Oryzias latipes: one gene and its partner. The protein of the gene in region 2 purifies or fractionates together with the protein of the main gene of each other region. This does not show direct contact. Links are inferred from orthologs where the notes say so. Each region holds a gene or a part of one and is shown on either strand. Other genes may lie near its edges.

Region 1 (3,819 bases), on a different chromosome or scaffold from region 2:
GTTGCCACGGCAACACAAACTAACATCCAGACGGTGTGGAGAGTGAGGGGCTTTTCTAAGCCACATCCTGGTGGTTAAGATGACGGGCTCGGACTCTTCTCACCTGCGTTTTGCCGTTGTACTGCTCCGTCAGGGAGGGCAGGACGGCGGCCGTTATGACGCGGCTCGCCCTGTAGGAGGCGCCGCAGCAGGCCTGGAGCAGCTTGGCGGCGGGCCACACCAGCTTCAGGTCCGGCTCACGGAGGTGATGCTCACAGTCTGGAGGCAGAAATTAAACTTTAGTCATAAAAGAATCGAACAAAAAAAGTTCAAATAAAACTTTATTTATAAAGGTCTGACAACACCTCAAATAAATAACTAAATAGTCCGCCACAAACGCAGATCTAACAAACAAAAAAGAGACGGTCCATGAAATCAACCAGAAATCTAAAAGTTAACAGAAACTTTAGAAAGTGTCAAATTTACTTCAAATCAAAGCTAAAACAAAAAATGTTAGAAAGTTCAGGAAGTTCCGCAGGCGAGGCCCACGGCGCCGGAATGAGGCCTCGCCACAAGACGTCAGCACAGTTTGACGTCATTTTTATAAATAAAGAACTCAGGTAAATTCAATTTCTGCATTAACTTTGGAAAAACCTTTTTCTGCTGTAGAAACAGTTTTAGATCACATCTATTCTGTTGGTTCGTTCCAAAGGACAAACCGTTGTGTTGAACATTCAGCCGTTTCTCTGAGCTCAACATTCGGTTTCATCCGGAGGAAACAGAACCGAGCGGGTCTTTTTGGACCCCTTCTGGTTTGTTTAGAGAACCGGTTCAGCTCTGTGCTTTTAGATTTGTTATACTGAAAGTCAACATGTGTTTCTCAGCAGCCTGTGTTCAAACAGGTTTCCCCCCCCCCCCACACACACACACGCACACACACCCTCACACCCCCCCCCCCCCCACACACACACACACACTGTTACCATGGTTACAGAAGCCTTTGTGTTTGAGAGCAAAGGTTTGTGTCTGCAGAAGTATTTTTACACGATTAATGTTTTAATTTAAAAACATAATAAGTTGTTTGTAGTTTTTGCTCAACCTGAATGTATTTTTTACCATTAGCTTTACGATAAAAGCCTTAAGAGAATTTCTGTAACACCTGCTAATTACATGACATGTTTTTCTCCTTATTACATTTAAAAATATCCTTATATCCCTATACTGTTTATCTTGTTTAATTTAGTTTTTTTCCTGCCTGGCTTTATTAAAAAAAACCAGGAGCATCCACCACGACTCCCCTTAGCATCCACCTGAACTCAGAGGGCCGATCTCACCGCCGCTCACCTCTCAGAACGACCTCCAGGAAGCGTCCGAGGACGTCCTCCGACTCGGAGCTGAGCACCGAGCGAGACAGGCAGGAAGTGAGGGCGGCGAGGGCGGCGAGGGCTGCAGACTCGATCTTCTCGCTGGACGTCTGAAAGACCTGCAGAGAAGAGCGAGGTCTGAGCGGCAGCCAGGAGGCGTCGCAGCAACGCCACGTCACGAAAAGCTTTGAATTTGGAAGGAAACGTTTGAATCCGTGAGCGTGGCGACCTCTCGACGCAGCGACGACCACAGGCCCTGAAGGAACTCAGCCGTGTCCTTGTGCTCGAAGCGCGACAAACATGCGTTCTGCGGAAAGAAAGCAACGTCTGAGAGTTCACCGGAAGATCAGGTTCTTTAAGCCAAGACCCAAAATAACAGATAGTTTAGAAAAGGATTTCTAATAGAATGTGTTTTATTTCGTCACAGAACTCTTCCATCTCCTCTTTTGTCCAAAACTAAAAAACAAACGACTGCAGCGACAGCAGATCTAAACATCAGCATGTCTGAGCTGAATCAGCTTTTGTGTTTATTTATTTTGTTTTAATTGTTTACATTTTATTGTAGATATAATTTATTGTTTCCTTCTAGCCAGGACTCCCTTGAAAAAGAGATTCTTGATCTCAATGGGACATTTCTTCGGTAAATAAAGGTGAAATAAAATTAAGAAATAAAAATTCACTTCAGACGTCCGTTTTCTGCAGAAAAAGGTTTCCCGCCCTTTACCCTTTCAGAGTAAAAGCACGGGTTTATGCACTGTGCTGCTTTACGAGACTGGAGGAAAACTGGTGTCTTGTTTCAGCGTCACGGCGTGTCTCCTCACCAGAGTCTGCAGCGCGTCCAGCTTGGCGCTCTGAACCTCTGAGTCCAGTTTCTCGATGAGGAGGGGGAACAGAAACTGTGGGAAGCCGAACAGAAACGTTTGCCGGAGAATGTTTGCTCAGGGGATCGAGTCAGAAGAAGCAGACCCGCCGTCGTTACCTCGGCAAACTTTGGCGTTCCGGTGAGGACGGCCCTCAGAGCCTGAACCAGCTCCTCTTTGGTGATGCCGTGGGGGTCGTTGGGGGGCTGCAGTGGACCAGGAGGGGGTTTTGGAAAAAGAATAGGAGGACAGGTTAGATGAAAAGTTATCCTGGAATCGCGTCCTGATCTAAAGAGTTCAGATGTCAGAACCCTGGAGAACCATGTCAGAGATCTGCACAGACGCTGCTGCAGATGCTGCAGACGCTGCTGCAGATGCTGCCGACACAGCTGCAGACGCTCCTGCAGACGCTGCTGCAGACACTGCTGCTGACACTCCCACAATCTCCGGGGGCTCAAAAAAAACCCGGCAAAACCAAAACACACATGTCAGGGATATTTAAAGTAAGTTTTGAAATTATTATGGGATGGCAAAAGGTGGCAAAGTGTAAAATTGGGCGATTTTCAGATGGGGGCAGTGCGACTTAAACTTTTGCTCGCACATTTTTTACCAGGACATTGTAGATATGAACATATTAGGAATGTGGGCGGGGTTGACAAAAAACCTCAGTTGCTAAGGAAATCCAAAAATGTATTCCTCTAAAAATGACATTGATCTGTCCGTCGGCCTCAAACGACCAAAAATTGAAATGGTTGCTATGGAGACAAACGTACATAAAAGGCACCGTTATGACAAAAGCGTGTTTTTTTAATGAATTTGTGCAGCTCTCGGGTGGCAGGGACAGACAGGGAGAGAGAGGGACATGTAGCAGATCCTGAAGATAATAGAGCGACATATTTTACTTTAGCTGATTTTTCTCCAGAGAGGAGAGGATGGAGACCCCAATGAGGAGCACGAATGCCCAGATCACACTTGTTTTTTGGGGGGAGGAGCAACAGTTTTCTCTGGCGGTCTGCAGACGTCGTCAACAGGAACTTACCGGGGTGAAGTCGATGGGGAAATAGCAGGAAGTCACTTCAAAGAGCTCCTCTGCGAATTTACCTGAGACAGCAGACAGGAAGGTTGAGAGAAGGAAACCGTGACATCACCAACAGACGGGGGGGGAGGAAGGTCTTCTCACCCAGATCGTATCCTTGGACGATGAGGTTTCTGGCGATCCTGAAGGCCAGCAGCAAGTTGCGAGGGTCTCTCTCGCCGTCCATTGATTGGACGAAACCAAAGACAAAGTCGGCTCCCAAACTCTTCAGCTCTGAATGGAGGATTGAGAGGACGTGAGAGACCGCCAAACGCATAGAGTGTCAGATATTTGTATGGATACTATAAACAAACGTTATTGACAATTGGAGAAATTAGAAAGAATTTAAATAATCAAATCATTAATTCAGTTTATCAAACAAGCCTAAACTGGTTTGGAGCGACCCGCAGTTCACCAAGTGACCACTAGAGCACGGTCTCACAAATGTCAGCTAGATCCTCTAGATCAGGTTAGATCCTCTACTCTAGAAGCGCCTCTCTCTTTATAAAGCTTCTGATGGCTCTGCATCTCCTGGGACGGG
Region 2 (3,819 bases):
GGAAACGCGTGGTGAAAAAAAGAGAGCGCTATATTTCAGTGAGACTGAGTCTGAGATTAATGACGGCTATGAAGATTATACGTCCATCAAAAAAGTAAAACGGCTGCATCCGAAGAAGAAAGAGTTTTGCTTGTAGTAGAAGAACAGACAAAGTAAACGCACGAGTTTCTGATCTTATTTCCATTTTCCTTGTGAAGCATATATTTAAAACGTATCCAATTTTGCCAACTTAAATGAATTACTTGGTACTATTGGTAACAAGTAATTGAGTTAAATTTATTCAACCTACTTTCTTAGGTCTATAAAACTTAATTAGTGTTTATTCAACTCAAATTTACAGATTTATTTAACTAAATGTCATATTACTCCAATTCAATTATTATTGTTTCCACCTTAAGGAATAATAATTCTTGAACTCTCAAATGTCTAAGTTTGAGCCGGCAGATATGCTCATTTTTATAACAATAAAAAGAACAGAACGATACACATTTGGAGAGTAAATCCATTTAAGAATTCATCGACATTGTCATTACATCATTTGGCTGTAGGGGTGCTATATAAACTCATCATCCTCTCCCTCCCTCTTACTCATGGTGCAGAGACTTGAGCAAAGTGGGACAAAGTAACTCGGCAAAACACAGTAAAACAGCTAAACAACTAAACACATTTGGTCAAAAACCCACACTTAAACCCAAATCCGTCCAGAGAGGCAAAGGGAATGGTATCCCACAATCCCTTGCGGTGCCGATCTAACAGCAGCACCAAAGTTACACCTACTTAATTGAATTAATTTGAATGAAAGTAAAATAACTGTCTGAAAACAAATTGTTATTTTTAAACTGACTTAACAAAAAAATGATTTTTAATTATCTTAACTGAAGCAAATAATTAAGTTAGATCAACATAGTTTATTTTTCCAACATCCATATGTGGTCTTATCACCCTCTCACAGTGGAAAAAGTATTATCTGAGCTTCTTCATCAAATCAAATCAAATCAAATCAACCTTTATTTATATAGCACTTTTTCAACAACATATGTCACTCAAAGTGCTGTGCATAAAAAACAATAAAATTTGAAAACAAGATGACAAGACAAACCGTGCGACAACCCCCACCCCGCAAAAACACACACACACACACACCCACACACATCAAAAAATAAATAAATAAATAAAAAAGTGATAAAATGATAGAATGTAGAGACCAAGCTTTGTCCTGAAGTGGGGAAACGATATTTTGGGGACATGTCCACATCAGCGACCCCCCAACCCAAGTTCACGGAGAACACTACCACAGAACCCCCCAGATCCGATCAAAAGAGTCAGACCCAGGAGATCCCACTGCAGCAGTTCACTGAGAAGGGTCAGTCACCGATGTGGAGGATCCCTCAGAGGGAAACACTGGAGTGTAATAAAATGTAAAAGGAATAAAATTTAAGTATATATAAAACATGGACAAAAAACAAATAATTACATAAACCTTAATAGGCATATGAAATAGTAAGAGCAACTTAAAAATTAATAGAATACATAAATAAATGTATTTACATACACATATAAAACTAGTTAAAAGAAAAAAATAAATAAAAAATAAATAAATAAATCCTAAAATTTAACTAAAAGCTAAATTAAAAAGGTAGGTCTTAAGCCTTCCTTTAAAAACATGAACTGTCTCTGCAGCCCTGAGGCTCTCTGGGAGGCTGTTCCACAGGCGAGGTCCGTAAAAACTGAATGAGGCCTCGCCGTACGTTTTTGTTCTAACTTTTGGGATAACCAAAAGGCCTGTATCAGAGGACCTCAGGGTCCGCGAGGGCTCATACTTTAAAATCATGTCAGATAAATATGAAGGCCCGAGACCATAAAAACATTTGTAAACCAATAAAAGAACTTTAAAATCAATTCTGAATTGCACAGGGAGCCAATGCAGCGATCTTAAAACCGGTGCAATGTGTCCCCGCCCCCCGGTCCTCGTCAGAACGCGTGCTGCTGAATTTGGCAGCAGTTGAAGATTTGCTATTCTTGTTCTGGGAAGACCAGAGAGCAGAGCATTACAATAATCTAATCTGCTGGTAATAAAAGCATGCATTAGCACCTCTGTGCTGGCAAGAGAGAGAAATGGGCGGACTCTGGCTATATTTTTTAGATGATAAAATCCTGTTTTTGTGATATTTTTAATTTGTGGGATAAAATTCATCGCAGAGGCAAAAATGACACCCAGGTTTCTCACACACTGAGAAGTTTTGTAATTCTTTAGTTTAGATAAAACTATCTCTCTCTTGTCCTTAGAACCGATCACTAAAACCTCTGTTTTGTCCTGGTTTAGCTGTAGGAAGTTCTCTGCCATCCATGACTCAATGTCTAAAATGCATTTTAAGAGTGTGTTGACCGACTCTTCATCATCATCCACTAAATCATCTTCAAATGGACACGCCAAGCTTCTTCACCTCTCTGAAAACCAACTAACCTTCAACTAAACCTGCTCCAGACCAGGTTATGTTCAGAGCATGAGTTGCCATGGCAACTTGACATACCCTGAAACATACCTCCATTTCAGACATGGCCGTTCACGAACACTAAAGTCTAGAGACAAACACCACAGGGCCCATGTTTAACATAAACGTACGCACTATTTTTAATGAATACTTGAAGTCCTTCAGTCTACATGTACAATCTTTAGAAACTGTCAGTTTCAAACTCAGATCAGATGAAGTCAGATGAAGCATATTCTGGCGTACCTGTCAGCTTGGAGCTCTTCGTCGTTTAGAAGCTCTTTCTTCTTCTTGGGCCTTGGTATGATGTTCTTTCTCGCAGACTGTCTTTCATGGGGGGTGGGGTCCGTGGAAGACACCATGTCCTCAATATCTTCAATCACGGGGTCGCAGGCGGAAGGCATGATGATCTGAAAGATCACAGTTCGACTCTATAAAGAACGACTCAGAATCCACAGAGATAACTTAGCTCTGTTAAAAGCAATCATTCAAAGAATTTTATCTGAAATTAGCACGTGCATTTATGATTAAGAGTAATTATATTTGAATGATTTACATCTACATGTACAAGTATGAATATACATTTTCTAATCAGTTCATGAACAACCATCCTAAGTTAGATATGCCTATGTGAAGATATATACACATACATTTCTGTGGTCTATCTTCTTAATTCTATTTTTGTTTTGGTTGCTTAAAGTAACCGATTCCAAATATAAAACATATAACAAATATTTAGAATACACAAGAAACACAAAACAATTCTTTAGTCATCCCGTCAACGTAGTCTAAATTAACTTACTATAAGCCAAACTGAAAAAGACAACAGGTAAACACGATTTGGCTCTAAAAAAAAAATTAAAAAAAACTATTCCAACCTTCTTATGTGATATTTGTGCAAGTCAGTAACGGCACTACCCTTGCTTGAGTAACTTAGAATGCAATTCCTGTGTCAAAACACGGATAACTGTAGTACAATTTTATAGGACAACCGTTAGCATTAGCCAGCTTGCCCACGTGCCTTACCAGTTGTAAAACACAAGAGTTGTATCTACTATTTGTGTAAATTACCTGAATCGTAATGTGGTTATATTGTCCAATGAATCCAATCTTCGGGTCAAATATGCGCCCAATTGATAAACTGCTGTTGTTTACACCACAGGACAGTTGTCACAACTTCTCCTGCGCCATTCTCGGAAATAGACGGAAAGACGGGAGGGACAAAAATTTAGCGTTCAAATGCTGAGCGCGATTTAATGACTTCAAATTAATACTGCTACAAGAAATAAACAAAACAATTTGTAGTTTATATTTCCTTTATTCATTTTTT

What was found.
Region 1: the proteins of cdkal1 (region 2) and mms19 purify together in Homo sapiens (affinity purification with mass spectrometry; 4 studies listed by BioGRID and IntAct, counting the BioPlex papers as one, with this or other methods). This does not show direct contact. The link is inferred for Oryzias latipes from reciprocal best matches to the Homo sapiens genes CDKAL1 and MMS19.

What each region holds. Positions count from the first base shown.
Region 1 is NC_019877.2:1,645,502-1,649,320, forward strand, and holds part of mms19 (MMS19 nucleotide excision repair protein homolog), read right to left. Parts: intron 3,513-3,819; coding exon 3,384-3,512; intron 3,305-3,383; coding exon 3,243-3,304; intron 2,410-3,242; coding exon 2,323-2,409; intron 2,240-2,322; coding exon 2,165-2,239; intron 1,651-2,164; coding exon 1,573-1,650; intron 1,463-1,572; coding exon 1,324-1,462; intron 259-1,323; coding exon 104-258; intron 1-103. UniProt on the Homo sapiens protein: Key component of the cytosolic iron-sulfur protein assembly (CIA) complex, a multiprotein complex that mediates the incorporation of iron-sulfur cluster into apoproteins specifically involved in DNA metabolism and genomic integrity.
Region 2 is NC_019874.2:11,062,817-11,066,635, reverse strand, and holds part of cdkal1 (threonylcarbamoyladenosine tRNA methylthiotransferase), read right to left. Parts: intron 3,698-3,819; exon of another isoform or gene 3,561-3,697; intron 3,392-3,560; exon of another isoform or gene 3,368-3,391; intron 2,900-3,367; 5' UTR 2,894-2,899; coding exon 2,736-2,893; intron 1-2,735. UniProt on the Homo sapiens protein: Catalyzes the methylthiolation of N6-threonylcarbamoyladenosine (t(6)A), leading to the formation of 2-methylthio-N6-threonylcarbamoyladenosine (ms(2)t(6)A) at position 37 in tRNAs that read codons beginning with adenine.